Neodiprion lecontei: one gene and its partner. The protein of the gene in region 2 binds, or shares a complex with, the protein of the main gene of each other region. Links are inferred from orthologs where the notes say so. Each region holds a gene or a part of one and is shown on either strand. Other genes may lie near its edges.

Region 1 (16,743 bases), on a different chromosome or scaffold from region 2:
GGAATCCATTGTGGATTCCCAGAATGATTTCAGTGTGTATAATACCCAAGAAAGGTCTGAAAACGAGCAATTAATTAGAAATTTGATTTTTTTGTAAGGTTGAAAAATTTTGGAGCAAACTTTGTATGGTTTCTAAAATTTAAAGATTTGCCTTGGTCTGCTGCAATCACTCCCAATTACTTTCTTAATTTTACACGAATCAAATGATGGAAAAAATTTTTATAATTTTTAGGTCAAAGTTTGGAACATTATTGTAATGATGAATTTTTATAAATACTTGAAATTCAGCAAAATTACGGTTGTGTAAAACCCATTAAATTATAGTACAGCATGATCATTTGCGAATTCAATTCATCAAATTCATGTTTTGAAGCTGCGAAATAGTGATTTTTATTTCAATGTTTCATTACACTAACGTTACAAAATTCAGTCTCATTGTTAAGTAGCAAAACTGAGGAATGGTCCTCCTTTTCACCTTAGATTATACCTTAGTTTTATAAATGTGTACAAAAAATTATGTTTTGCGTAATATCTCTGATGCAAACATGTCATAAATCAAAGGCATGTAAATGGAGTAAAACAAATTTTTCTAACTTTTGGATGTAGATGGGTGCTTATCACACGCTGGATCTGGAGCAGAATAGAAAATTCACACTTTACAAGCCTGAGTGGGATTCCATTTCCTTGGAACGAGTAGACACGGCTTGCGACCCTACTCAGGTAACTTATGACAGAATCAATATAAAATATTGATTTTCATTAAAAGTCTGTTGATTGATATGGTACCCCCATTCTGAATATTATGAATGCATGATATTGTCATGAAATTTGTTTCAACTTGAACAGAACATAAAAATTAAATAAACTAGCTATAAATATGTTATGTTTGGAATTGTCAAAATTAGACGCACAACTGATATAGTTCATAATTAGCAACAAATTATAAAAATAAATTAAGTCATGAAAATTACTTACTTCTGAATCGAAGAGTTCTTATTTTTTTCAAAGCTGCTTTAGTAGAGTTTCAATTCAACCCGTACAAAAACGTTTAAGAATATACATAACTTCAACAGAGGCTAAATCCTTTCTTAATACTTGAAAAAATAAATCTTTTCTCTAAGGATGAGCTCTCAGATAAGCTGTTTGCTTTTTGAAAAATGAGTTACTGAATATTTTCAGAGTGCTGATTTAGCTGCTGTTATAATGCAAGATGGAATAGCTCATGTTTGCCTTATTACCTCTAACATGACTTTGGTTAGAGCTAAAATAGATCAAAATATACCAAGAAAAAGAAAAGGGAACGTATCACAGCATGAAAAGGTTTGTTATCACTCTTTATGGACAGCAGTAGAGTACGTGTGAGTCTATGTATACAATGTATAGGGGCAGTCCATGCCATTTCGACCTGAGTCTGAACCTTGACTTCCAGATTTGAAATGCACTCAGTTTTTTTATAGATTTTTTCGACACGGTTTGAATTTTCTACAATTTTTCAAAACCATGCCTTGATTAACACAATGTAAAAAACTGAAAAATCGTGTGTCAGATAACAAAATGTTGCAGCTCAGAGCAGATTTTTTTTCTCTTTATTTTGCTAATAACAAAATCTCAACTGGTAAAATGGCTCATAAAAACCTGCAAAATTTTTCAAAAATCTGAAAATGTTTCAGTAACCATCCATAATAAAATGACGTCTAATTTTTCCAACATTTTTTTTTCGAAAAAAGCTTGAAAACAGTAGGAAGAAAAAATCTCCCCACTAAGCTTAATTTTTACGCCCTAAACTTAAAAATTTTGATTTCTAACACACACGAATTTTCCGAATTTTTTCAAATTTTTAAATTGTGTCCATCAATAACATGGTTTTGAAAAATTGTAGAAAATTAAAACCGTATCAAAAGATCTAAAAAAAAATATTGAGTGCATTCAAAATCTGAGAGGTCCAGGTTCAGACCTAGGTTGAAATGATATGGACTGCCCCATATACTTGTAGTGGGAAAGGTGGTTGCGATTTTTGCCAAGCTGGTGTCTCTTATAGTTTTGATTACTATGGGTATGGTGATATCGGTAACGTAAAAGCATGGTGAAATGTATATTGAGAGAATAATATGTAAAATAAAACATGCTGACACAGGATATGGCATTTCATAGAGTAACATTACAGAACATTGTTTTCCGAAAGAGCAAAAAACAAGACTGGCAGGGACAACTATTATTTAATGAGAATACTTAAATTCGGTGATTTGCTCACAGCACAATATCCAGTGCTGATCTCTGTTGTAATCAAAGCTATAAAGATGTCCTTGACACTCTGCTTTTCGTGACGCCATCCTCATTGTATGCAAAATTTTGTATAAATAATTTAGAGTACCAAGAGTAACGGTTTATTGAGATCCAAAGTTTTAACTTTCTTTACCAAAAAAATGTCTAGTCCGCTTACAAAAAAATTGGAAAGTTATATGTTTTAAAAGATTTCTGAAAAGTGTGTCATTTTTTCGCTTGATATTACATTTAACAAATTCTCTATTCAAAAATTGATCGACCAAAATAAATTTTTCGTCTAGCGTAAATGAGGTTGACGTTTTCATGAGTTGAAGAATCACTCATTGAAGTAATGAGACATCAACTTTTGTTCAACAGTAGTAGCAATTATCCTTACTTTGCATTAAAATATGATATTTCGCTTAACTTTTTTCATCATTGGAATTCCAGGGTTTGGCTCGCTTTTATGAAAGCGTCATGCAGGCAATCCTACGACATATCAATTTCGATGTAGTCAAGTGTATTCTCTTGGCCAGTCCTGGTTTTGTTAAAAATCAATTCATGGAGTTTATGATTCAAGAAGCAGTGAGAACAGATAATAAAGTGATTCTAGACAATAAGGCCAAGTTCATGCTTGTACATGCTAGTTCTGGCTTCAAGCACTCACTGAGAGGTACCACATGCCAAATCAAATTGTATTCATGTGTATTTAACATTAAAACTGCCAAGATTGGCACACCTCCTTCAACAACTAAAACAATCTTTAGAATTGATCCCCACACAGTGGACTTCCTATTAATAGTATGCCTGGTATTTGAAGATGGAATATTTCACAACCACATTTAAATTGCTCGCAGTACTAAAAAATTTTTGTTTCAAAACACGAAGAAAAAGAAAAGGAATTGTTTATTTATGATGTAAACAGTATATCTGTATTCAATTGATTATACAAAATGTAACTTTCACGTATACATCGACTACAAAAGAAAGAAGTGCGTAAATATGAATCTTATGTGAAATATACAAATGGGAACTATCTTAAGAAGCGTCGAAATTGAATACGTAAAGATGAATGTAATGATTGCTGAAAAACGCTACCGTGGAACATATTATCGATGATTTTTCATTGTCATCTCCAACACAAGTTTGCAAACTTCGTATAGTAAAACGTCCTGTAGATCCTTTTCTGTATAATATTATTTTACATTTTTTTTGTGTCGTAACATGTAACGGCAAGATTGTTTCTATTGCGCAAAAGTGATATTTCAAAAGTAAATCTAGGTGGAACTTTGAGGTTGTTCAAGAAATACTACTCACACTCTGTAATAATGAATTTACCAGAAAAATTACTGAATCTGTTGTTATAATTAAAATAGTTGGAAGTATAAAAAAAAATAAATACAATGAGCTAGTTTCCATAAATGTCCAGTGTTCTTGCAAAATATTTCGGACAGTTTGATATTGAAGACAAAGTCCGAAATAATTCACAGTTCAGTCAAAAAGTGTTAGGAATGAGATGTGTGACAAAAAGAGGAAGTTTGGGACCTGAAAATATTAAGCATGATTGCCTTGGCAGTTTCAGTGTTAAATCATTATATCTTAATTGATTATTTTTCACTTTTCATCTAAACAAACTTTTCAGGCGGCACCCCAATGGAAATTGGCAAATTATTTTTTCGTGCAATACCCTAGTGTTTATATTAATGTTAAACTGTTGACAGAGGTGCTGGCAGACCCAGCAGTCGTAAGTCGAGTAGCTGACACAAAAGCGGCTGGTGAAGTGAGAGCATTACAGGCTTTTTATACGCTGTTACAAACAGAACCAGCCAGAGCATTTTATGGGAAGAGACATGTGGAAAAAGCTAACGAGGCTCAGGCTATTGAGACTTTATTAATTTCGGACAAATTGTTCAGGTAATTGCTGAAGCAGAATGAACTTTCGTTTCAAGAATAATAATTTCATCTTCTCCACAGATGTCAAGATATTGTGACGCGGAAACAATATGTCAACCTCGTGGACAGTGTCAGGGAGTTCGGTGGTGATGTCAAAATTTTTTCCAGCATGCATGTATCTGGTGAACGTGAGTATGATCCGTAAATACAATGTGTAATGTAACGCCCAAATCAAATTACAGTACTACCTTGACATAAGAGTCCTTGTCATAAGAGAATTTCCCCGTCGTTACACTTGAGCAAGTCTTATAGCTTCCCCCACTCTCCCTGTATACCTGACGTCTAATAACGCGGTGTGCTCCTTATAAGCGAACGAGCGATTGCGTTGAATCATATGTGTTTAGACATCAAATTTGTAAATATAACTGTGATTCACTTAGAACGAGAAGTGGTGATGATCATCGACACGCTGACACATAAGTGATTCCCGAGGTCTCCTGGCAGTAATGGGGGAAAGTACCAACGCCGAATTTCGTGGAATCCCATTCCCTTAACCGCCCTAACACTCTTATAACAAGGCAGTACTGTATTTATTTCGTTAAGTTAGTATTATATTTGTTTATTAACCTATGGATACGAGAGCCACCATTTTATTTCATCAAAGACTTACATTTACATTTTATCATCACTCGTATCAGTAGTTTTATTTTTATTACACTAAGCCATTGACTATCGTTTAAGTTTTTTTCTCCCTTTTTTTAGTGAATATTTCACATTATGTTGAACTCATTCCAGAATTAGATCAACTGACAGGAGTGGCTGCTTTGTTGCGGTTTCCAATAACCGAATTAGAAGATGAAAGTGAAGACAGCGAATCAGAAAACGAAGACGAGAAATAATTATATTTAAAAGTATGATTGACAAAACATATTCACATAGGTTATTAATTAAGAAATTGTAAACAATAAAAATTATTTAATAATTTTCGTTCGTGAAGTACGCGAAATGACTAAATCAACGTTGTAGCGAATAAAAGATTTAATACATATTCATTTAATTGATAAATAATTTATATAATATCGGTAACCACAATGGGAAATGTACATATCTGAAGACTTGATTGATCAAGCTCGATTAAAAGCTCAAATAGTCAATAATACCAAGGTCTTGTAAAAACGATTACAGGTCAGCGCACCCCTTGACTTTAGCTAATTTACTGAAATTAATTCACCTCTCAAGCATGGATATCGGAAATTATGTCCATGCTCTTACGATCTTATTATCAGAACTCAGTATAAGTGAGAACTTGTGTTTTCTATCATGCTCAGTCGATTAAAACTTTGGGTATTCATAATGAACATAATGATGGACCTGATCTGTTCAGATTCGGTAATTTTTTTTTTATTTAAAAAAAAATTACATATTTCAAGAGGATGTGGTGCAAATTGTAAGACGTGACAATAAAATTTGATAAAAATAATCCTGACAAATTAACGGGTGTAAAAACTGAACAAAATTGAGGGATGATTGAGATTGAAGAATCAGGAAAACAATCGTAAAGTGAATCAAAAATCGTGAGGTAAAATCATTGGTCGAGTTGACAATGGAAAGCTCTGTATGTATATGAATTTAAAAAAAAGTAATACAAATAGTACAGCACCTACAGCACTGATTTTCTGTCTAGAGGCTGGTAAAATGGCCTGACAGCAGGTAGGAGTTATTTAGGGATTTTTAGGGGGAACCAGAGAACGCCTAGGAGGAAGTCACATGGGCCATTTGCATGGAAAGTGTTTAGTTCCCATGTGTATGTACTTCCCACAAACGATTTTGAATGGAGGTAAGACACAAGCTTCAAGATATGAAATTTGTCCACAGAGTAACTTTACTACCCTCATGGCGTGTTCCTTGTCTATCGAATTGGTCGATTACTCTGACAGGCTTCATATCAGAAAGAGGAATTAGATTACTTTTTGTCACGTAATATCAACCAAGATTGTTTGGAGAAATTCTTTGCTTTAGTCGCAGTCATGGTTGCCACAACGTGAATCCAACTTGTTGACAATTTGTTGGCACATACAAGTCCCTCCTTGTCAGTAATTTCAATTCGCATCGTTCATTGAGTGCGAACTGTGTAGACGACAAGGGAAGTATACTGCTCAATTTAGTCCACATATTGGAGGATCATAGCGATAACAACCATGACGAACCGGTAGATTGCTTAGATGATGCGCTCCACCTGCCCGATGAAAGTAATATCCAACGATAGGTCCCACAGTCCATAGTGACAAAGACTGTGTGTGATTATATAGCAGGATATGTAGCACGCAGGCTTTTGAAATTTTTGCAAGTCTGTTCAGAGTGCAAATCGACCATCCTGGCAATGGAACCTTTGCCAGATTTGCATGGAGAATTAGAAAGTAAAGTGTTTGATGAAGAGATATATGTTTTGAAGTACGTTAGCAACAATTGTTTAACTTCCTTCCAAAAATTTTATTAAATCATCCGTAGTCTGCTTCTATCGATTAGTTTTAGAAGAAATTTGTTAAAAAACCTCAAAGCAAAAGTGGATGAAAAAAATGTCTCAGGTGGCTTGGTTGCTCTGCTCATGCCTTGAAAGTAAAGAATAATTTTAAACAATTTTCCATGTCCCTAGACATCAATACATTCTGTACAGCTGTAAGTAAAATTTTAAATCATAAAGATGCAGTACTAATAAATTCTTTAGACAAGCACGGATACATCGCGAAAAACACTTCAAATCAATTTTACAGTAAAGAATACGTGTCAGTTAACAAACATTGTAAAATCTTGATAAATTCACTATCCGACTTCTTTCTCTTTGTATAAATTGTATATAATTTGTATTTCTGCATTATAATTTTATTTGTAATTTTGACTTAATTACCATTACCTGTATTTCGTTGATAACTATTGCGTTACTTGTATTTTAGATTCACTTAAGATTTTTATACTTGCACCACAAACTGACCAGAGTTTTTGCTTTCTGCTTTTAGTCCATCTTTTTAATTCAACTGTACTTTATTTGACAATAAATGAAATATTTTTAAATTCTAAGTAACTGATTAAATTTATTCAAAGCGATGATGAATACAAGTCGTTTACAAGTGGTGTCAGTTCGTCCTGAAAAAAGGATCAAACTGATCATACCACTTGTATTCTCAACCCCTATTTAAACACATTGATTCAGAGATTTGAAAACTCTGCCATTCGAAGTTTATCGTTAGTACATTGAAGCAGCGCGCAGTGTGACGCACGAATTCGGCAACAGTTTCGATACACGGGAGTCAAGCACGGGAGTAGCGAGAGATAACAAGTTGCTCGTATTGGCACGTGTGAAGTGTGTCAATACAAGAATTGGATCTTTTTTATGAGGAAATATTAACCATTGAAAACAACAGATCGTTGAGAGAATGGTCGTAATAGGAAAGAAAAAGGTAGATATATAAATCACACAAATTTAATCTCGAAAACGTACATCTTACCTCCTTTTCTAACGCTTAACATTTTTGAGGTTATTTCTCCATGCTTGTCTGATGCTTTTCACAGTACCAATCCGGTGAGGGTGCTCAGTTTTTATCACGGAGATCAGCTCTAAAGAAACTTCAGCTTTCATTGAAAGACTTTCGGAAACTATGCATATTGAAAGGAATTTATCCCCGGGAACCTCGTAACAGGAAGCGAGCCCAACATGGAGATACAAGTATTAAAACCTTATACCACAAAAAAGACATACAATTCCTCATGCACGAGCCTATAATATGGAAATTTCGAGAATTTAAGGTAAGTGAAATTATCACCCTATATACCGGGTCGCTGCATTACATGGCAAGTGTTTGAGTACTTTTTTATTTGTTTCATAATCTTGATTAATTCTTCTTACAGATATTCAACCGAAAAGTTGGCCGAGCTAAAGCAATGAAGGAATTCGGTGCTTTGAGACGGTATTTAAATAATCATCCGCAGCTGAAGCTAGATCACATTGTAAAAGAACGTTACCCAACATTCATAGATGCATTGAGAGATCTTGATGATTGTCTCACGCTATGTTTCTTGTTCAGCACATTTCCTTCTATAGCTCACGTGCCACGTGAGCACTCACTTTTATGCAGGAGATTAACCGTCGAGTTTTTGCATGCTGTTATAGCAGCTAAAGCACTTCGAAAGGTTTTCGTTTCGATCAAAGGCTTTTACTACCAAGCTGAAATCAAGGGGCAAACAATCACATGGATAGTGCCACACCACTTTTCTTTTGAACCACAGTCCAAAAATGAAGTCGACTTCAAAGTGATGTCAACGTTCGTTGAGTTTTACGTTGTTATGTTGGGTTTCGTCAACTTCAAGCTATATCATGATTTGAACATGTTTTATCCACCAAAATTCAACAGTCCAGGTAAGAATTGATAATGTAAACTAATATTTAAATAACACAAAGAAACGCATTATTTTTTATGACTGTCCTGTAACTAACAAGGAGAGGTCACTCATTAAGGAAAGTTTATTCCAATTAAACTTACCGTAACAGTGAATCAAAATTTAAGACATTAAAGTTAGTAACGTTAAAGTAATCGAATATGGGAAAATATTTTATTATTTTGCAGCCTTAGACTTGCTTTGAAGGTATTTAAGTCTACAAAACATGAGTATGTTTTGCTTCCATATGATTTAGTGAATCTCAGATACTCCTAAAATTGTGAAATACTGATTTATCATGGAAATGCATCGCCACATTAATGTTTCGAAGATCAAGCTTATTAAAATGCTGGTTCCTGCGTGACAATTCTCATACTTCTATTGTACCCATGGCGTGTTTTGAACAGTTAAACTTGTAGCACCTTTGGCCCTGTATAAAAACTATAAAACTTTCCATTGCTGCAGTTACCTTCAAACCTTTGAAATTGTTGTAGAAAAGGTACAAGTAGATCAAAATGAAACATGAATTGTGCTATGTCCACGTGTAAAGCTTAAAATCCAAATGATGAACACCAGTATAGCTTAACATTTATTGTCGTAGCACTTTCAGAATAAGAAACCATATAAATGGAATGGGAGTAAGATTCTGGGAATCGATAAAACGAGGTAAAAGCAGTGAAAGTGGCATATTTGGTAATACAGTAAAACCTCGTTTATACGTTTGCGAAGGGATATGACAATTATGATGCTTCTATGTTTGTATTAACGCACGGACAAAAATTTACTGTAGAAAGTTTAGTAGAAATGTGATAGTTTGACTTATATTAACGTATCCGTACACCGAAAGTTGTGCAAGAGTTACAATAGAAAATTGGGAAAATTTCAACAAGTATTATAACCGAAACACCAATTTTATTACACTCACTAATATGATTGCGATAGGTTTTGCTTTTATTGCTGTTTATCCTCAAACTATCGTATTTCGATTGTAGCATCTATGTGATAAAATTTATTCCATGTTTTTTTATCGATTAGAAATTCCTACAATAGGCGCATAGAATATTAAAACGCAAGTTTGTAATGAGAGATTAGTTGTAATTAATGTTCGGGTGAAGGGAAAAGAGTGCTCTATACCGGAATAAATGATACATAGGTGTGAAAAATATCAAAATGAATTACTTATGAGTGAAATTTTACATGTGGTCTGCAAGCAAAAACTACCGGGACTGAAGGAATTTAATGCACAAGTGAAATGACATACAAGTGAGAAACGTATAAACGAGGTTTCAAAGAAATGCAGGATAGTAGAATTCATAACCCTGGTGAATAAACTATTATTATATAAACAAGGTTCGTCGTTCGGTGTCTTAGTATTTTTATGTGTCCCTTAAAAGTCATGAACAATTGCTTTTATCCAACTGTTCGGTTTCATCATCTTGAGGATACTATCCATGTTAAAAAAATTATCAATAAGCATTGCAGCCAATTTGCCTGAGGGTGCTTTTATAATGTTCTCGATCTTAAAAAGTAATGGAGAATTAATTTGAGATCTTTTGTTTGAAGTACATGATAGAAAATTGTAGTTTTGCTTAGCATCATGCGCTCTTGAGCACTTCGTTTGTTATGGTGACCCATAATTCTGGCATAAGTATTTGAATTCAACGATTAATTACTGATTTTTTCAAAGGAAGTACCGATACGAAATTAGTGGATGAAGAAGTATATGTGTCTGAAAGAATTGCTGCACTGAACTCGCCATTGTCCAGTGTTAACAATGCGACTCCAGCACCAGAAGAAGAGCTGGATACGGATCAATTTCCGACAGTTCGTTTCTTTATTATACATCTGTGAAGTAAATGAATACGTACTTACACACGGACTGCAGTTATTAAATCATCTCTGATTCAAAACTTGTTTTAGGAAGCTGACCCTTCTCAACTTGAATTATCAAGAATTGAAGTAGAAAAAGTAAAGAAACTAAAAACCCTATTCAAAGGTTTAAAATTCTTTGTGAACAGAGAAGTCCCCAGAGAACCCCTTGTATTTGTATTGAGGTGTTTTGGAGGAGAAGTATCCTGGGATAAAATGCTATTCGTAGGTTCCACCTTTGATGAAAGTAATGAAAGTATTACGCATCAAATTGTGGACAGGCCAAGCATGACAAAGCAATATATCTCCAGGTAAAATTAAATAAAGTTCGTCAGAAAGATAACACGCTTATGAAAAAATAAAGTCAATAAAAGTTGTATACATACAATTTACATCTCTTATTTGATTGAGTTATTTGCCATGCATTTTGTCTAGTAAATTGTAACACTCTTGATAATGATACTGAGAAAATCAATGTTTTACAAATCCACGTTGCAATTGTCAGAGCTTTCAAAAAAAAAATATCCATACATACCATCATAAATTTTTCAATTGTTGATTATATGCTTGGGAAGATAGTTTAGAAATGTAGAAAGGTTTACATATGAATTTCAAGGTATTGATAAGTTCTTTAAAAAATTAGTGAATAGGTTTGTGAATTTGAAAACTAATTTTTTTGTACTAACTGGTGTGCATCTTGACTGCTACTTACACTGTCGCACTCCGTATGAGGTGTTAATCCGGCATTGAAAGTTTCGATATGCAGTGCAAATTACAGCTTAATAGGCGAAATTTACAGTAGAAATATATACAAAATAAAACATTCTATATACCAATGACAAAAAATTTTTAGGTACTACATTCAACCGCAATGGGTGTTTGATTCTGTAAATGCTAGACAACTTTTACCCGTCGAGAATTATTTGATGGGTAGTGTGCTTCCTCCGCATCTTTCACCATTTACAGACATGCTGCGAGATCAAACATATATCCCGCCCGAACAACGCGCTTTACTCGACCCAGAATTTAAAGTGAAAACAGGTAAATAAAATGAAAAATCAGAATTCTCTCAAGGCTCAGCGCATATCACAGTCATATATGGTACTTACTTGTAAACTTTTATCGAAGCTAAAGATGACAGCGAAGAATCGGAAGCAGAAGAGGAAGGAGATGATCAACCAGAGATAGAACAAGCGGAAACGATTCTTGAAGGTGAAAGTGCAGAGGCCACAGAGAATGATATCTCAGAGGAGGAACCTGAAATCACAGTAACAAAAACGAATGACAGCGAATCAGAGCAAGAGAGATTGAAAAAGGTAATGTGCAAAGGAGCGTATTAAAACTATTCCCGCGAATTTCTTTTCGCATTAAAATTGCAGTGATGTTTGAATGTATATCTCAGATGATGGTACTAGAAAATTTTCTGGGAAATTTCCTACAATGATAGGAAGGTAATTCTAGTGCAATACGAATATTGATTCTTTCGCAGAAAAAGGGAATGGTGGTGCAACAGGGTCAATTGACCAGGGAAAATCCATGGGAGAAGAATCGTATTGAGAAACAGGAATACCGTCTCAGGGAGAAAATGATAAAAAAGAAACATAGGAATTTGTACAAGAGTATGATGCAAGGAAAAGAGGACAGAGCAAAAGAGATTTGGCTACTTAGGAAAAAACGACGCATCCACGATTCTACAGAAAAAGAGAAACGTAAACAGATGCGAAAAGAGGGGAAAATTAAAAATACGGCATGAATTCGATCGGAAATATCCATACGTCTTATTGTGAAGAGAAAACGGCAATAACTACAATTATCCAAATTAGCTATTATAGTGTTACCGGAATTTAATTACATGTTCACACTTAAACTCGAACTGTATGCAGTTGTTTCATGTGTTTACATATACGTATGTGTATCGTGTGTTTAGTACATAACGATACGATATATGTATGTAATGCTTCATGATAGCTAAAATAAAGATTTTTATGAATTGCACTGTAATGATGAGAAGATTAGATCTGTCACGTGAAGCGAATCAGCCATCCCTCAAATACTTTTATGATGTTGATTCTACTTGAGGAGTTGGACTTTGCTGCGAAAGAATTGGTAAAATAATATGGATGTAATTCTATCGTAATAATAAAAGGTAAATTAATAGAGTTGCAATTTATCAGGCGTTAGAAAATTGGTGCTCGATTTTTTTAAATACGTAAACGAAATAAAAACTTTGTTGCTAATATTGCTTTTGGGCGAATACTATTCTGTTCATTATACAGTAATTTTCATTAATGCTTTGGGATTTCGGCTAACTTATTTTCCGTCCGAAAAAAAATGCAGGCTCGATTCTACACGAATTGTGTGACAATGATTCCCAATCTCTCACTTTGGCTGCATCGCCGGTCATTGTCACATAACCGAGCACGCATTTTGTTTTGGACCGAAAACAAATTAGCCGGCAGCCCAAGGCATTAATGAATATTACTGTACACAGATGATACAATAAATTTGCAAAATACAGACTGAATTCAAAATAGCGAGTTCTTCATTCGTTTGTTTAAGAATTCTTTTATAACACATGGATTTAGACGCTTGAGAAATCTACACGTATTAGTTCGGTATTCAGAGTCTTACCAATTAATTTCAAAGACCCGTTTTGCTCCGCATTAAGAAGGGTCTATATTAATTACAGGATAACCCAAATTTCAGTGGCACCTTCGTTGCTTCTCAAATCAAACTTTCCTTTACAGGTATTGGAAAAATAGCGGGCGGATGGGGGATATTCGACTCGAGTGATTATCACACTAGTATTCGTACGATGCAACATTCGTATTCGCGTGAACGTAGCACTCGCCTTCGGCTCACGCTGCAAACTTCACACTTGTCAGAAATAGCACACTTTTCAATAAGTGTGAAGTTTGCAGCATGAGCCGTCAAGGCAGCCTGAGTAATGAATATATTCAAACAACTTTACAGTTCGCACTTACTTATAATTCTCCAAAAATGCTATGAAATCGCATATTTTATTCCAATGAATTGCGTATTTACGATTCTCATACATTACATAAATTATGTAATTATATAGAAGCCTCAATTTTTTATATTTATTAGGAAGTTGAATATTTTCAGCGTGATTCGGAAAAAAATTCGGCTACATACTCCTGAAATGGAAAATACTGTAAGGGATATTCAGAGAAATTCGGAAACGCTAGCAGTACGATTCAGCAGAATTTTATGAATTGCGAATATCGATAGCATTAGTCAATTCAAATTTCACGGGTTCACCCTTCAAGTCACACTAAGCGCAGAACTGAATCCAATTATAATTGAAAGGTCCGAATTTGGGTCTTTACAATAAGTCGATCTTCACTGGTCTTTTCCTACTCTTACAAATTTAGAATTTTTTCATTTTATCATCTGGAAAATCATGTGATCGTTTCAATTCAATTTGATTCACAATATCCTATTTTATGATAACATTTCACTGGACATAAAAATTCCAGGACCACTATGAGAGTATTCGCTGTGAGAAGTATTAATATGTCACAAGTAAGACTTTAATTAATCTCTTGTAAACGAGTGCAATATTACTAATAACTTTTTTCCGCTCCTTTTTTGCACGCGGTTTGCTTATACCTATATATGCGTTCAAGGATATCTTATTTTAGTTCTCCGAGAACCGTGCTTTGGAGACAAACGATATTCATCGGTTTTCACAATCCTACACATAATATAGCATTTGATTCACATTCCAGGAATGTTGTGTAGGTATAATTGTTTCTTCCTCATAATATTTCAAACGTAATATTGCCCGAACGTTTGAGGAAAATAGTGAATGCGACATTCCTATTTGATTACTATAATTGAGTGGGCGATCAAAATGAGATAAACACACTTTTTCATTTAACCAAACGCTTTGCGTGGTTCAAATTTTTATTAGAAGTAGAGAATCTGGTCTCTATCATATGGCCAAAGTTTCAAATTTTTCCCATTGCTGTATTTGAAATGATTTTCATAATCATATTAGATGTATCATATGAATTTATCCCTTTCTGATCATCCATTTATATTTCATTCGAAATTGAAATGCCAAACAGTAGCGGTATCAAAGAGTCGGGCATACCGAATTTTTGATCATTCAATTAATATTCGTAATCGGCGACCTCGAAATCCCACCGGGTACCAAATTTCGTCCAAACGAAATCACTAATTGCGAATTCTTCCGCTATGTGGATTCGCCATTTTGATCTCCCAAATTTTCAACCAGATTCGAGATCAGCGACCTTAACACCGTGATTTTTAAATTACAAAAAATGTGTCGGAACACCCTGTATTTTCTGATGTATTTAAAACTACAGTGTGAGCGGCTTTCCGCGGAGTCTGTAACGATAATAACGTGCCAAAGCGTTGTACGGTCATACTTTCACGTGGGCCAGGCGCGTGGGACGTCTGACCTTCCAACTCCTTCGGGGGAAATGCTGGAAGCGTAAAAGCAAAAGCAAGATCGGGCAGAGACCCGGGGTCGTACGACTTTGGAGCGTGGGTTTCCGGTGGGAGAACTGGAAATATATCCACATCGAATATCACAAATAAGCGAAGAGCCGTTGCGCCATTTTTGCGCTGCTTCAGGATATTCGAAGTTGTAGTCATTTTTATGAAAGCTGTGGGAAAGAAAAGAGACAATTGTATGAGACATACTAATTGAGCTACATCTTTCAAGATTTTTTGGTAGTGGCAAATATATAAAATCTAATTCTTTGTCTCAATATTTCAAAAGTTTAAGTTGTCCCATTTTTACGACCAACGAATCGCGCAAGTTACAAGACCATTGCGTAGTTGTTTTGACATCCGATTTGATACGAACACTTTCCTTAAAAGTAATAACGACCAAATCATACACGCAATGCGAATAGATAAGACAACTAATGTTTCAAAAATAATTAATTATTCACGTATTTACTCAAAATTGCGTATAATATTATTAAGAGGAAAAATGATAATGAAAATTATTGAATTAAATCTATAGATTATATGCATTTAGATCATTTTCATATACCAATGACATATTAATCACGTGTTTCTTTAATTAAGAAACCTCCTGTCTTGAGAGTGTCTGACCCAGTTAAGAATGAAAAGTGGATGACGATTGCAACTGTATGTCAGAGCATCGATGCTTTATTGATTTTTCATGTGAACTGTTTTTTGCTATTAGATTGAAAGCATCATTGAATGATTCATTCGAATCTCTGGCTTTATGACTCATATTCTTACGTTTGGTTATCCTGGTGAGTGGTGTAATATCTATACCTTATCAGCTATTTCAAATGCTTCTGAATGAAATATAACAGTGGATCTCTGCTTCCCATTTCTTGTACATCCGTTTTGTAAACTGATACAAAAGCATTTCTATTTCAACAATAAATAAATTAATTATTTCGAACGTGAAGATTAAAAATTTATTCGAATCTATATGTTTTCTTAGATTCTTACAATGAGTTTTCAGAATATGTAAGCACACAATATTATTCTGAAAAACCTGTTTCACAATTTTTTATTACGCCTACGGGTAACATCAGACAGAAAGTACTTTCGACGAACTGTAATAAACCGGTACGACTTAGCTGTAGCTACAATTTCAGAATATTTTCTAATATTCTGGTGTTATTTTTGTTATTAAAAATAGTGTTTTTAATTAAAATCAAATAGTACAAACCGTTAGAGTTCAGCAGAAAACGAGATTATAGAACGTCTAAGATATTCAGAAAGTTCCATACACACTGCTGTTTATATCATTCAGGAAAAACTTTTCAAAAAATTTGTGACATCTTATTATATGAGACTTGAAATAATCCTTGGAGTTGATACAGTGAAAACATGGTTCGAAATTTGTTTTTTCTCAATATTTTCACAGTGATAATTTTAAGGGGTTACATATACATGGCTAGGTCAAACTAATCGATTTAAAAAGATGCTCAATTGAAATTACTGTCCTTTGAGTATCTACCCTGGATATTTTACAAAGAAATTCGCAGTAACGACGAAATTGGAGCGTTTTGTAATCGACCGGGTGAATGGCGACAAGGGTATCAAAAGAAGGAAGATTGAGGTTGACACAGCTTGGAAAAGATCTAATGAAAGTGTCGACATTTCAGGAAGATCCGTAATATGACTCAGAAATCGACGATTTCATGTAAATCTAAATTGAACCAGTTATTTGATTCTCAGTGTAAACTGTGGTCAAAAATTTAGAAGCATTTTTCTCGAAACAGTGTTTTCAAAATCGGTACCAGA
Region 2 (15,066 bases):
TGGAATCAATTCTTTGGCACCCTATGTCGACGTAATTTTGCAAGAAAAATCGATTGGGCGCAGTCGGAATACGCTGCGAGCAGCGGGTCAAAAGTTACAGCCAAAAAACCAGAACCTGAATTTTCGATATTTTTCAGCTGGTGCTCTTTCCATCGCAATTACTCTGCTGTTGGTCCTACGCTCTATTTGCTGCATTTTCTGAGTTCCTGGGGATCCAATTCGTCGGGAAAAGGTCACAAGAATCGATTCTGAGACAAAAGATTTTGGTGGTTTAAAAAAAGTGAGGCCAACCCCTTTGGATATTTCGTTGAAATCAGGACTAGTTTGAAAAATGTCGAAATCTATTTCTCTATACTGTATATTGACGTAAATTTGTGCGAGCAATCCATCGCACGCAGTCCGAATACGCCATCGTTTACTTTATCCTGCTTCTTCATTTTCTCCATTTCTCCACACTTCCTAGATTTTTCATTTCTTCGAATAAAAATGTAATCGGCATCCATTGACCTAAGTACGTGGGTTGCGACGCGCGGCATTTTGCCGTTCCGTCGGTACCTATTTTCATGAGCGCCTTTTCTAGCCGACGGCGTAGCGCTGTCGCGTCAAGTTGCAGTCGCGACATATAACACCCATGAAAATCCAGCCTTATCGTTTGAGACTGAGAACAGCTGTTCGCTGTCTTCCCGACCATCTCAGACTCCGATCATGGAAGGAAAATGTCAAAATTCCGATTTCGATGCAAAATGCTTGCTGGCGCAGTTGAATACGGCGAGAAAAGAGATAAACAATTTAAGGTAGGAATTATTCCCTCGCTGCGCTTTCCCGTTCTATTTACAATCGAACGCGTACGGCCGAGAGCTGCACATTTTGGCTCATGACGTGTGTGACATAACATAACCAAGAAACTCGCCGACAGCGACTTACGCAAATAACAAGTCAATGAATTTCTGATAGAACTGAAAATCCGAATTGGTTTCGTAATATTTCAGGCAACAGATACGTAATCTCCGTTACGTCCATGATAAAGACGTCGAGGGCATCAAACGCCTCGTAGGATCGCGAACAGCAGAGAAAAAGTCGTTCATGTCAAAACCAGACATTTCGAAAACACCCTTGCCAAGCACGAGCAACGAAGTAGATGAAGGTCTCAAGTTGAAGCCCATTGGAGTCGTGTCAACCTGGTTTCCCAACAAACGAGGGACGCCACGACAACCTGGAATATGTGATAAGGCACCAGGGAAATTAACACTTTTTAATTCTGTCTTTACCAATCCTGAACATGCCTTAGATGGCCTTCAAGACTTCTCACACATGTGGTAAGGATTGGTGAAACATTACTGTGCTAACAGTTTTCAATTTATTAAAAAAAATTAACGGTTTTTTTCTTATGCGTGTTTCATAATTTCTGTGATTTTTCTCTTTAGGATACTCTTCCACTTCCATAGGAACGAGTCAACTCATGTACGTGCTAAAGTAGCGCCACCCAGACTAAACGGAATACGAACCGGAGTATTTTCGACCAGATCACCGCACCGACCTTGTCCGATAGGCCTGAGCCTTGTTAAAATCATAAAAATAGTGAATTGCACTATTTTCTTCGAGGGCGTAGATATGGTGGATCAAACACCAGTGTTGGACATCAAACCTTACATACCGCAGTACGACAACCCGTTGTACGTTGAAAAGTACAGCAGTAGGGAATTGGAGAGAAGTGGTATTCTTGATAGGGAATCGCGAGGAAATATTGAGGAAAGGACAAATCTAAACTTGGATTCAAGTGAACGATTGAGCGGGCAAAATCTTGTTGCATCTGAAACGAGCAATGGCTTTAGAACTATGTTACACGAACCTCATTATGGTAGTACTGATGGTGCAGCGCACGGCACAGATATTTCTAGAGATGAGGAAATCGCACTCAGACTACAGGCGGAAGAGTTTGATGGACATTCGGAATTCGGTAACTACTTAGAAGCTAGAAACTGTTACCGACCAGTGGATAGGAATTTAGATATTGTCACAGGATTTGATAATAATAGAAGCGTCACACTTGGTACCAGCAACTTGGATGGGAACAGCGAGATGTCTAACGGGCTAAATACGGACCTGGGTTCATTTGACGAACGAGAATTATTGAGTCCAGAAATTTCTTTACAAAGTACTGTAGATTCTATGCAAAATTCCACACATAATTCCAGAAATGGTGGAATCGTCCCCAGAACTTTGGAATTGCACAATGAGAATACAGTGTTTAATATACAACATATCGACCTGAATCCTCAAGCTAATAGAACAATGTCCTTCAATTCGAGAAATGCTGAGGTCAACAATCCCATTGATCAAATATCGCGAAATACTAGGCTATTAGACGGTGCCGACGGAATAAGTACTGACTTAGATTTAATTGACCTGCGTGCAGCAAATTCGAGGCTTGATAATTCTCCAATTCGAATGGGTATTAGAGAAGCGCCTGATGGCGAAGAAGGTTTTACGTCGCAAACTTTGTCAAATATACAAGGAATGGCTGGATCCGCAGTTTCTCAGAATGCTGGGAATGGTCAGAACATTAGAATTGAAAGTAGAGGTCACATGAACTTGGGGCAGGAAGAAAATTCTTCTAATGTAAGGATACCAGATTGGATATCGAGATCGCGTGTTTCGGCGTTAACTGTAACATTTAATGAACGAGCTTTGGTACAGTTGAACGAAATTCTAGGAGACAAAGCGGACCAGCAGAAACATGCTATAGAAAATGTTTTATGTCAAGATCCTAGGTCAGTTTACTTGAGGCAACGTTGGGCCAATCAGTTCTACACATTTTTAATTCACGAATTACATATCAGCTGTAGATTTGACGATAACAGACATATTGTTACAGTTTTTCAAATTCGTCATGCGGGTAGGATGTGTGAATGTGGAGAGCCAGAGTGGCAGTGCTTAGGGCATTCCCCCCTTACGTAATAGCTTTTATATTTATGATGCAGAGTTTGTAACGTATATACTGCTCTTTAGTTTTAGCCATGTATAAACAAGCCCTGCTAATGTTGACTAGTGAATGTATCGCTCTATGCAGGCAATGTAGTCCAATTTGAAAATTATTGTACTTGTTGTACTAGAATTTCAAAAAGAAAATACACAGTAACAGAACATACCGTAACATTCATAGCTGTCCATTATAATAAAAGAAATTAATCAAATATCAGTTTGAATTAATGCTATATGTTTTGGTCTCGAAAGAAGTATGCTACAATGAATCGGATATGGACATTTCCGGATATACCCGATGATATGTGTGATGAAGAAATGAATATGCTTAAAATTGCAGTCGTAGATCAAATTCTACTTTGCATGCATGAACAAGTCCCAAATATATTAGGAAACCTGAATTTTGTATCAATAGATTATATGTTGTTTAATTATGTGTTACCAGGAAAATATGAAAAATATTTTCCTTCTATGTTATTACTTACATACAGGGGACTGAATTTTAATATTACGTTTTTGTATTTCATCAAAGTTTACGTTAAAGTACTCGTTCGGTAGTTCGAGGTGATATTGTATGAATTTTCAGTCAAATTCTACCATGTAGAATGGTTCGATTACAGATTTTTTTTAAGTGTAACCTCTTACCTTTATAATTTTAGTTTATATATGAAACCCTGGGATATATACGTATATTACCTATTATATTATTCAGGCAACTATGAAGTAATTTCTGCAATTAATTACGAGCCAAAAGTTCCTATAGGTTTACTTTAATGTGTTTGCACGTTATTCTTTTGTAACTACTTAATCAGTAGATAAGGTAATCTTAAAGTTTAGTAATAATGCACATGTTGTAATATCGGAAAAAGTGGTAAAAATGTTTTTCGTAATGAATATATGATTAATGCACTTCTAAAAATAATCTCAGATGATCCATAACAGTTTAATATAGCAATATCAAGCTTTTGTAGAAAACGTTAATCCGTTTTTAACGATGCGCCAAACAAATGGCTTCAGAAATAAATAACATTTTACAATGATACAAGTTATAATAAATAAATACAGTTACCGATCCATTCATTCCGTTCCACTTAAATTTCTAGGAATTCATAGCATCAAACATACATCATGGAAATTTGGGTAAACGGTCGAGGTCTAAAAAAATGCAATCAGTAGATAAATGTAGTAAAATATGTTTATTAGAACATAACGATACGGCCAGAAATTGAAACAACTTGTATGTCATACCCATAATTAAACTACGTGTATAAACGAATAGTTGCATCTGCACCAGCCGAAAATAGCCAAGGTTGTATTGGATGAAACATGACATCAAGAATACCAAAATCATTGTAAGTCTCATGATTGCACAGTCTTTTTAGCGGCACAATCAGTGGGTTTTGAAGAAGGTCGCTGTAAGGAACAAAAAAAAAAAAGAATAAGAAGTTGTTTCCTGTGGCTTAATAAAAACATAATACCGATTTACTTACTTGTACACCATTCCGTGTGATACAATCAGACCTTTGTCATCAGCTCCAGAGGCAAATAGTGGATAACGCTTGTGAAAGGCTACACCACGCACGGCTGTTCCATGCAATCGCAAAGTTTGATAGGGCTTTGTGCTCAAATCCAGATCGAACCAGAGCATCTTTCTATCATATGTGCCTACTAAGATGTTGTCGCCACCTGAACACACGAGCAATTTATTAGGAGAAGAACCAACGACGAATTTCACAAAGTTGCGGAGAAAAATATGAAACTGTGTTGATTACCAGGATGTATTGCCATTGTTGATATCCACATAGAATTAGACAGCAGTTTCTTGACCATCTCCTGCTTAACCAAGTCGTATATTCTAACATTCCGTTGTGTCTGAAAATTTGTTTAAATTACTTAATTGGAAAAGTGACTCAAACAATCACGAGCAGAAAGATCAATGTGGCAACTTACCGCGACAAATAAAAATGGTCTAATGGGATGGAACAAAACACATTGTACTAGTCCCTTGGACTTGCTGAATGGCAATTGCGAACGCCTCTTTGACAACTGATTTATTAGAACAGATCTGTTCTGCCCATCGGGCATAACGGTGGCTAGATAGTCACCCCTCGCATGCCAAGTCACCTGCTTCACAACTTTAAAGTGATTCAATATTACTCTGATACCATTTCGCCAATTTTCACCTTCGGCCTGTTCCCACTGAACTGCCGTCCTTACCCTCTCATTCACTGAAATACAAGTAAAAAGAATTTAGTACATTGGAAAGTAGTTTCCTGGATTCAGTTACAGTCACATATGCTAACAAATTTATTACCTATTACATCGCTTTGAGGTATGATTTCTAGAAGCTGGTCCGTTTTGCTTGTGATTAAGTGGTCCCCTACTCCAGGGTTGATTAACAAAACTTTCTGATCTGCAGCAACGGCTATCAGCGAAATTGCTTGATTTGGACACCATGCAACACTTCTTATAATGCCTCCACAAGGAACGGTCTTCACACATCTACCAGTTGCAATTTCCCATACTGAAAACATGTTCACTCATTCATTAATTCGCAGTTTTAATTTTTTTCCTTAATCTTTAATTACAATCGACCTACAATGAAAAAGTTTCGACAAAACAACTCACTTTTAAGCGTCATATCATCTCCGCCAGAAGCGATATACTGGCCTTTAGCTTCGGCAGTGAAGGATCTTATCATGTCAGTGTGCCCCTTAAAGACCATTGACATAGTAGTGGGAAATGGTTGTAAATCTTGAGGACTAGGTAGCTGTGGAACCAAGCTGGCTGGGTCAATGGTAAGCCTCATTTTCAAAGCCCTTGGACAAAGATACAAGTCCAAACATCTCTGAAACCGCTCTTTGATATATCTTGAATAAGCCGGGACTTCACGAAGTGAATTAAACTTCTGTGGAATGAAGTGAAGCTTCCTTTTCCATGGCGTGGACTTCAGCTTATTCCATTCCTTCATTTCTTTTTTGTCAAAGAGATACTCTGGCGGAGGATTATAGCTCTCTGCGTGACCAGGCAAATGCCTCTTTGGCGCCGGTATGTGCTTGTGAATCCTCCGCATCTCCTCAGCCTGATCGTCTGACTGCCACAGCATGTAAAAATCTTTGTTTTCCTTGTTCTTCTGTTTTTCCTTCTCCATTTCGACTGTTGACTTTATCCAACCCATTTTCAGAGCATGAACTAGCTTGGAAACTTTCTTTGCTTCCGACTTTGAAGGCAAGAATGATCGTTTGTGCTCCGGAAATTTACGCAATGGCGTTTTCATCACTTCGGACGTGAACCACTCGACCCAAGGCTGTAAAAGTAATGGGAAAATAAAGTTTCAAAACAAATTTCAGAGATATGTTGAAAGTATTAAATAGAATCTGGTAAGGAACAAATAACTTACTGTGTACTCGTCAAATTGAGCATCAGGTATCTTTTGCTTCTGGATTCTTGTTATGAGCTCTATGTCAGCTTCGCTGAGTACTACATCTTGTCCCGTCATGGGGTCTTTCACAGTTCTCCAAAAATCTGGATCCTCCATTCTCTTCAAAAAGTTATCCAGCTGATCTCCTTTCTCTGGTTTTAAAATTTTTTTACCGTCCCAGTCGTACCCGATGTGAGGATACTCGTTGTACCATTGCAAGGGGATATTCCCAATGGTATTTCGAATATCTTCTTCATCCGAACTGTCTTGTTCATATTCGTCGACATTACTAGTCAGTTTTTCAACTGCTGGGTCGCTTGTATTGCGACCACTATTCACAATACTTGATTTATTCTGTTTTACACCATAATCCAAATTTTTCTCACTATGATCGCTTAGTTTTACCACTTTTTTATTCACATTTCTAGCTGGCTTGTTACTTCCATTGCTTTCCTTATTAGACTTTACCAAAGATTTGTTATTTGTTTTAGGCTGCCGAACTTCTTCCTCTGACTGCTCGTTTCCAGATTCTGAACTGAATTTGTCTTTGGAATTGACAGACCCGTCACTCTCTGCTTCCGAATCTTCTTCGTCCTCCTCTTCTTCATTCACAGAATCATCATCCTTCTCGTACTCTTCAGAGTCAGATTCAAATTCTAGTTCCTCATCATCGTTATCAGAGCCAAAAACAATTGGATCATTCTCAGTATCAGAATCGACAACATCATTATTTCCTTCGACTTCGTCGTCTGTGCTGTCATCGTCCTCGTCGAGTTGATCGGTGGCTAGAAAATCCTCCGATCCTAAATCCTGGATACACGGAGTGTTATGTAGTGTACAATAAATTGCCAAAGAGAACCAGTGATGACAATAGATTTTTGCGTTACGATTACTGCTTCAATTTTTTATTGAAGCTCAAAGCTGACCCAACTCAACCTAACCTAGGATGTTTAATACATATTTAAATGATTCGATTATCTGTCTTACCGAATTCTCGTCCAAGTCGTCATCGTCTTCAAGTTCTTCGACATTCTCTACCCTTTCTTCTTCTTTATTTGATTTGTTCGGAATGATTGGGTCCTGCTTTCGCTTACCTGCCTTTTTCGGGGCACCCATCACTAGGCAGTGGCAAGTTGGAAGACAGCCGCTTTGGACAACCGCGTTGTTTTTTGAGGTTAGGTAGGACACGTGTTTGGCTTTTGCACTTCGATAGTTCGACTTGCGATACGCAAACTTTCCGCAATCGATATCTCGATTTACATTTCAAACCAGCAGACGCACGGATGCAGATACTTTAAAGCACGCTAAAGTTTAAGCTCTCACCCTACTCATCTCTGCTCTCACTTTAGAGAGTTTCATAAGTATGCTACTAATTTTTTCAACTTCTGAGAAATTGTTAAAATTTCTGAATCAATCTCTGCAGAGTTTTGCGGAATCAAACAAGGATGATGTTACGGGGTAGAATGCGTAGGCTCCGATGAGCGGTAATCGGAGCTTACTCCACGCCCAGCCAAGGTGTTCTTTGGCTATTATAGGGTCCGTTCACATCGACTATGCACTCGCGTGCTACTACTCCCAATGCAGGAAGCGAATGGAATAGAAAGGGATCGGTATTAAGGGAAGGTAAACGATTATAAGTATATGATTGTTTATTAGTAGTCAATGCAACGGAGTCGGTCGAGGGAAAAAGGTATGGTCTTGGTTTAGAGGGATAGGTGTCTTGCTTGAGCGCTAGGATGGATCTGCCTTGTTTTGCGGGATGTAGGAGGCAAGCTAGCCGCGAGTTACAGAAGAATCTGCTGACTCGCGGACGATAAGAGTAGACTACAGAGCGTAAGGTAACTAAGAGTGTGGGAAAGGAATATGAAGTCTGGGGGACGTAACAAGGATATCCAATCTTAATTTATTCTTACAATGTATATTGTTTCTGTTATACAATATAATAATTGAAATGTGTTAAATTGGATGTACTTTAAAACGTCTACCGCTCGACAGGCTACTAATATATTTCTCGTGAAAATCTTCGGCAGGTAATTAGAGCTGTTTACAATAAGGCCGTAAATCCTGCGCCCGAGTTGTAAACATTAGTTTTTCATGCGGTGGGTGGAAAATGCCCCACGAGATTACATAGAACTATGGAGAGAAAAAAAAACGCTATTTCATAAAACCCAATAACATAAAAATGATATTGAAGCATAGAATTGGGTGTGAGAGGGGTCAAGGGGCAAAATTCCCGCCAGGAAGTTGGGGCTAGAGTCTTCCCACTGAAATAAAAATAGACTGAAAAATCATGAGAAACATTAATTTGGATACGAGTTTCGATTTCACAACGCGGCCGGCAAATATGAAAAAAGACAGAATCTTGATGCTTCGCTTGCGTAAAAGTAACGGAATACACCGCGTGTATCGTACTTTTGTGCAGTATCGCTCTGAAAATACTTCCCAGACAGCACCAAAAGCTTTCCGTTAACTGTTCGCGAGCTCAGCCAGAAGCGCATGGGAAGTTCCCTGAAGTTCCCCACCGTAAAGCCTATGTCCCGAATCGCGAGCTTCCCTAGAGCGCCCCGGAATCTCCCCAGAAGCTTCTAATAATCTCAGCAGATGTTCTATGTAAGCTATTCTACAAAGTTTTAAGAATGCGTTGTCGGAACGTATAGATATCTCAACTGACAGCTGTACAAAAAAACTCAAAATTAATGTTCTTAACATTTTGAGATGGTGATAAGATCGCTGAATATGTAAATTGTTCTAATAACGCTCAAATGTACTCAAAGAGTGAAAAATTAGTATCTGTATCATTCGTATTTTAGACACAACAAATCGATGTTATGTTTCTGTCGATTTGTAGTATTGAAATGAAAAATAATTGTATTCAGATAAAAAAAATAAAGGTGAGAGGAGGCAGTGGATTTCACATGAAACATTCTCAACGAATGTTAAAAAATATATTACAAATAGGTAAAATTTATCAATAGTTCACAGAATTTTCAGAGGAACTCCATAAGAGAGAAACTGCAAACTATATAAACAGTGATTTTTTCTTCTGTACCAATTTTCGTTCTGTTCAGTGCATAAACTCGTTGTTCACAGTTACAGAGATTCAGATTGATTCTAAACCCTTTGATATCCCTAGTAATTTTACGACCACGGAGTAGTAGGAAGGAGACAACACTCGAGCAGCACTTGGCACAAAAGCTGGCCCAATTTTTGGGGCAACGTAAGAAGAATTGTCAAGGTGCGATTTAAGCGCCTATTGCGGTGTAAGCTCGTATAGCGCACTCACCCCCTTCGCCATATGATCTTACGATTCGCCGTTTGCAAACCTTTTCCTCGGATTTAATGTCGGTTGAGATTAGAAAAGCAATCACTCGGTTTTTACTGTTTTTTAGTCACTTCAGATGCGTATTTTACGAATTTACGGAATATGTTTATAAAACGGAGACTTATAGGTTACGATTGCCGCCTTTTTTTTTTTACATTTTATAACGAAAATTTCACTTTTTTCCGTAAAAGGCGCTCAAATCGCATTTAGACAATTCCTCTTACGTTACCTCAAAACTGGGGACAAGTTTTATCGCAGAGTCTTGTCTCCTTCCTACTACTCCGTGTTTAGAATCCACGGTTTTGTATCAGCACCGTTGACACTTCCAGCCGCGCGTCTTCAAGCTTTTCTCCACGTGCTATTTGCGGTGTGTTCCGATATAAGTCCCCAGTACTGTCAACAATCTTTTATTTTTTTTGCGCCACCAGGTTCGTTAGTAGCTCAGCCTATGTCCTAGGAAGTTTTTAGTGCTGTCAGACAATTTAGGAACGCACTCTTGGCATCAGGGGGTGGCTGGCAGTGCCAACTGTGCGCAACCAAAACTGCGGATCGTAAAATTACTAGGCATATCAAAAAGGTCAAAATCAATCTAAGCGTCTGTACAATCTGTAGTTGTTCATTTAATCAGGTGAAAATATGCCGTTCGTGCACAATATTGAGATTATACATCAAACAGTTAGAGGGCACAGCTGGCGCATTTGACTTTAGAAAACCCACTTGTCAATTGTGACGTATTTTCATTAATTTATGTTTATAAAAGAAAAAATATACAAAAACCTGAATAAGCACCGATATGGCACAAACAGAGCACTAATACCAATATTGTATTGTCACATAGGTCACAACCAATAACAGTGCGTCATATGACACTTATAAAATGACAGGGTGACGGTCAGTCCGGTTGAAGAATTCATCCATGAAATTTAAAATACTGCGGGATATTCGTAAGATAAGCGAGTTCTAGCAGAAAAAGTTCAATTACAACTTTTACTGTGATTTTAGTTGATTGATAATAGTTAGAAAAACGGGGTGACAGGGAAAGATATAATTGATGTCAATAACAGCTAATATTCAAGATGTATATCAATTTTCAACTTATCTTATTGTTATCTGTAACGATGACTCATCACCTAACTTTGGCACAAACATGTAACGAGAGGCAGCTACCAGGTCCCACTTTAGTAGACATGTGCGGTGAATCCGGTACGTTGATGTCTTTTCTGGACTCAGCCATACGAAAGAACGAAAAAATATCGGGAATATGCGAGCGCGTGACGCCCATCGAGACACCAGATCCCGAGTATGACTACATCGTAGCCGGCGGTACGTATGAAGCAATGGATGTCAAAAACGTTAGCAACATTGAAAAACAACAATCGCAATCGTGCGTGGATAATTCATACTGATACTTATTTCCGTCGGTAGTCGCGAAGAGGATTTCTTCATTGACTAGGGTGTCCGAGAACAGTTGAGAGATTTTTTGGACTGCGCAGATCATGTAAATCGCATGTGATACATTGTAAAGTTCCAAAATATCCTGAGAACTGAACAAGAAAGTGGTGAGTGCTGTTCAAAGCTGGTTCTTGTTTCAGGTGGTGCGGCAGGTTCCGTGGTGGCCGCGAGACTGAGCGAGATTTCGCACTGGAAAATATTGCTTCTCGAAGCTGGTGATGACGAACCTGCATCCGCACAAATTCCGGGTGCGGCCGTAATCATAGCTGGTACGTATTAGAGAAAGACTAATGAATTAAATTTATAAACATGCTACGAAAATAAATGAAATATCTGCCTCATGTAAGGTTCCAATTTGAGCTGGGGATACACAATCACGAACGAAAGGTACGCCTGCCTCTCAGAAAACGGTTCTTGTGAGTACGCCGCGGCGAAAGTTCTCGGTGGATGTACGGTGCACAACGGGATGGTATATTTGAGGGGCAATCCAACGGATTACAACAATTGGGCCGCTATGGGTAATGAGGGCTGGACATGGGATGAAGTGAAACCTTTCTTTCTCAAGGCGGAGGATAACGGTGAAATCGATAGAGTTGGAAGATTCTGGCACTCCACGGGGGGTCCACTATCCGTTGAGAGATTTCCCTATGAACCTCCTTTTGCCAATGCTATGCTTAAAGCAGCAGAAGAGGCAGGATTCCGCATTAGTCAAGATCTCAACGGAGACGTGTTGAGTGGTTTTGCAATGGCACAAACCACTAGTAAGAATGGAGTCAGACGTAGCAGCGCCGCATCGTATCTACGGCCCAGCAGGAACCGTGAGAATCTACACGTTTCCCTGAACTCGACTGTCACAAGAGTAATAATCGAGGACGGGAAGGCAGTCGGCGTCGAGTACTTCAAGGTAACGATCATCTTACTTACACCTTACACATCGTACTCACAGATATTCGAGTACCGATTGTGAGTCTTCATTCACGCGTGCTTGTATCATTGCTCTTACGTAGTAGCATCGGAGGACTGATGACATAGGCCCGCAAAAAAAGGTATTTTATGCTGGGGTTGAGAGCCTATAGCTCTTACGTATGACGGGCTGCTGAACACAAATCCGAGTTCAAAGTGGGCGTCGGTGAACTAATTCGGTCACTAGAGCCTAGTTGTTGAAGAATTAATTCGAAAAATGAGAACATTTAATTTTTTTCATCCAACGTTCATCTATATCTATACATAGTACAAATACGTCACATCCGACACTGAGAAAAGTTTCATTTTTTATAGTGACTAGAGAAATTCAGTCAACCAGGTATCGTTAAAAAAACTGTTTAAATATTGTTGGAATTACGAAAAACGAGGTACACGTAAACATTTTGCGCTACTGTCGATCCTTTTTTGGTAATTACAACGCAAAATCAGTTTCTTCGGTCTACTCTACGTTTTTAGTTAAATAAGGCTTTAACGTCAATTCACTGTCGCACGAGCATTAAATTTTCGCAACAGTTACAAGAAAATATAGTAACAGTGATCGTAATGAGAAAGAATAGTAACGGATACTAGACTTTCCGGTAACAGCTAGAAAACTCATTTTCATTTTCTACCTAAAACTATATTTCTCGATTCTAGTAAAAAATGAAAATAATTAAGGACTGAGCGGTAACCGGAACTAAAAATTTCTCTCGGTGAAGTGTCACTATCACCCAAAAGTCCGATCAACTCCAAAGTTCAACACCCCGATAATTCCAAAAGCTACAAACCTTGATAACGCTAAAAGCCAAATTATACTCCGATAACCCCAAACAGATGTACACGGCTGTTACTTACAAAAAAAATTACCCATGTACTCTTTTTTTAGTAATATTAAAACTAGTTTTTTGGCCCCAACGGCCAAATTGGTCCATCGACACCTTCTTTCGACTTTAGATTCGTGTTTAGCAGTTCGAAATAAATGGAAAATGATGGGTCTCGACTACAACACGACAAACTTTTTTTAATTTGTGGGCCTGTGTAATTGTAGTAAGAGGCGACTAATAACAAGCTTCGGAAGGGCTACTAATTAAAAAAATTAGCGCAACGTTGGTCTAGTCCAGCCAAACGAACATGTACGCCTGGTTTAATTGAATCTTTGAGCTTCGCATACGTCTTACTGGACCGTTAGGTAAAAGCAGTGGTAAAATGATGGCTCGATTGTAGTTTCAGCGCTACCCGCTTGTGTGTTCCTTATTTTAATACAATTATCAATAGCCAAACTCATTGATAATTGAGAGCAAAATATGATAATTTCTTACAGAATGGTGAATTCAAGACGGTTCGTACATCGCGAGAAGTGATTCTCAGCGCTGGAAATGTCAAATCACCTCACATTCTACTTCTCTCTGGCATTGGGCCCAAGAAACACCTCGAGTCTATGGGCATCCCAGTCGTCAAGAATTTGCCTGGTGTTGGCAGGAATTACCAAGACCACCTGTACTTCACGCTCAACTTTACCATAAATCAACTTGACACCTACATAAACAATTGGGCAGCTACTACCGAATACCTCGACTTTCAGACTGGCCCGTTGTCCGGTCATGGGATAACCGGGATAGTCGCTCAGCTAGCTTCCAGCAAAACAACCCCCGACTATCCCGACATGCAAATATATAGCGTGGGTTTTGACGCCGCCTGTGCGCCTGGTGAAATTGGTGCTCTTAGCAGCACGGGGAAACGCACTTTCGACTTGTTCGCTGTGTTACTGCATCCAAAAAGCAGAGGTATGTAAACACCGTATCAGAAATAAGGACGTGGTTGTCTCACAATGGTTCTTCAACATCAAAGTACAAATAATACTTAGCCCATTATCCGGTGTTTTAGGACAAATCAGTCTGGCTTCGAACGATCCTTTTGAACAACCCTTGATCTGGGGTAACTTCCTGAGCGAACCCAGCGATATTGATATTCTTCTAGAAGCCATATATAGTGCTATCAAGTTGACCGATACGGACACAATGAGAGCCTACAATATGACGTTAACAGCAATAGCCAACGATGCCTGCGGAAATTACACTTTTTCTACCACCGATTACTGGAAGTGTAGGGTACACCACGATGGTATTGGCGCACCTCATGGAAGCGGAACCTGCAAGATGGGCCCCAAGCATGACACAATGGCAGTTGTCGATCATAAGCTTCGAGTTCGAGGCATCAAAGGTCTGCGCGTTGCGGATACTTCCATCATGCCTAAGGTGAACTTTGGGACAAAATGTTTGAAATGTTACACTTGATATGAGAACCAAGCCCTTTTTTTTTACCAAAAATAAGTCTCTCCGTGCACAAATTATCTGGTTTCTTTATCTAATGAGAAGGTTATAAGCTATAAAAATATTCAGTTATTCAAGTGGCAAGGGACTAAGTTGGCTGTGCAGATAGGTATCAGTTTAAAGATCACGACGTCAACACAACTATCGATGTTGTTATGTAAACGTTCAAGAATATTTACGCTAGACCTTTCCTCACGGAAAAAACACAACTTAGGTGTAAATTCACGACACTAACTCATAGATGATGCTGAATGCCGGTAATAGAGAAGTTGAGAGTTCTTTTTCGTAAGGATTGCTGCAGTAGTAGTTGGAAAATATTTTTCATCTGAAAAGTACTTTTATTTTTTGTTTACAGATCGTTTCTGCGAATACTGGTTCACCGGCAATGATGATCGGAGAACGAGCTGCAGACTTCATCAAGACGGACTCCGATCGGTTATTATATTGAACGCAAGTTACTCCTAATACGAAGTAAATGTACTTGCGCGATTAGTCACGTGCATAATTTTGAGTGGAAGACGATACTTTTTGAGGAAAGTGAAACTCGATGTATCTTCAAACTTGTAACGTTGATCTGTAACTCAGGATTGAAGATA

What was found.
Region 1: ribosome biogenesis protein BOP1 homolog (region 2) and pescadillo homolog share a complex: the UniProt entries of both Homo sapiens proteins name them as parts of the peBoW complex. The link is inferred for Neodiprion lecontei from reciprocal best matches to the Homo sapiens genes BOP1 and PES1.

What each region holds. Positions count from the first base shown.
Region 1 is NC_060262.1:23,168,236-23,184,978, reverse strand, and holds pescadillo homolog, read left to right. Parts: upstream 1-7,449; 5' UTR 7,450-7,586; coding exon 7,587-7,610; intron 7,611-7,722; coding exon 7,723-7,956; intron 7,957-8,058; coding exon 8,059-8,566; intron 8,567-10,273; coding exon 10,274-10,410; intron 10,411-10,506; coding exon 10,507-10,766; intron 10,767-11,308; coding exon 11,309-11,496; intron 11,497-11,564; exon of another isoform or gene 11,565-11,583; coding exon 11,584-11,771; intron 11,772-11,944; coding exon 11,945-12,208; 3' UTR 12,209-12,894; downstream 12,895-16,743. Other genes in the region: protein pelota, read left to right, coding at 607-720, 1,180-1,320, 2,713-2,935, 3,984-4,176, 4,237-4,343, 4,951-5,054. UniProt on the Homo sapiens protein: Component of the PeBoW complex, which is required for maturation of 28S and 5.8S ribosomal RNAs and formation of the 60S ribosome.
Region 2 is NC_060260.1:39,234,265-39,249,330, forward strand, and holds ribosome biogenesis protein BOP1 homolog, read right to left. Parts: upstream 7,729-15,066; 5' UTR 7,520-7,728; coding exon 7,391-7,519; intron 7,214-7,390; coding exon 6,383-7,213; intron 6,290-6,382; coding exon 5,611-6,289; intron 5,507-5,610; coding exon 5,297-5,506; intron 5,211-5,296; coding exon 4,933-5,210; intron 4,855-4,932; coding exon 4,755-4,854; intron 4,669-4,754; coding exon 4,473-4,668; intron 4,396-4,472; coding exon 4,242-4,395; 3' UTR 4,162-4,241; downstream 1-4,161. Other genes in the region: uncharacterized protein LOC107218625, read left to right, coding at 706-794, 990-1,316, 1,425-2,958; glucose dehydrogenase [FAD, quinone], read left to right, coding at 10,802-11,048, 11,318-11,446, 11,525-12,081, 13,462-13,924, 14,025-14,395, 14,826-14,918. UniProt on the Homo sapiens protein: Component of the PeBoW complex, which is required for maturation of 28S and 5.8S ribosomal RNAs and formation of the 60S ribosome.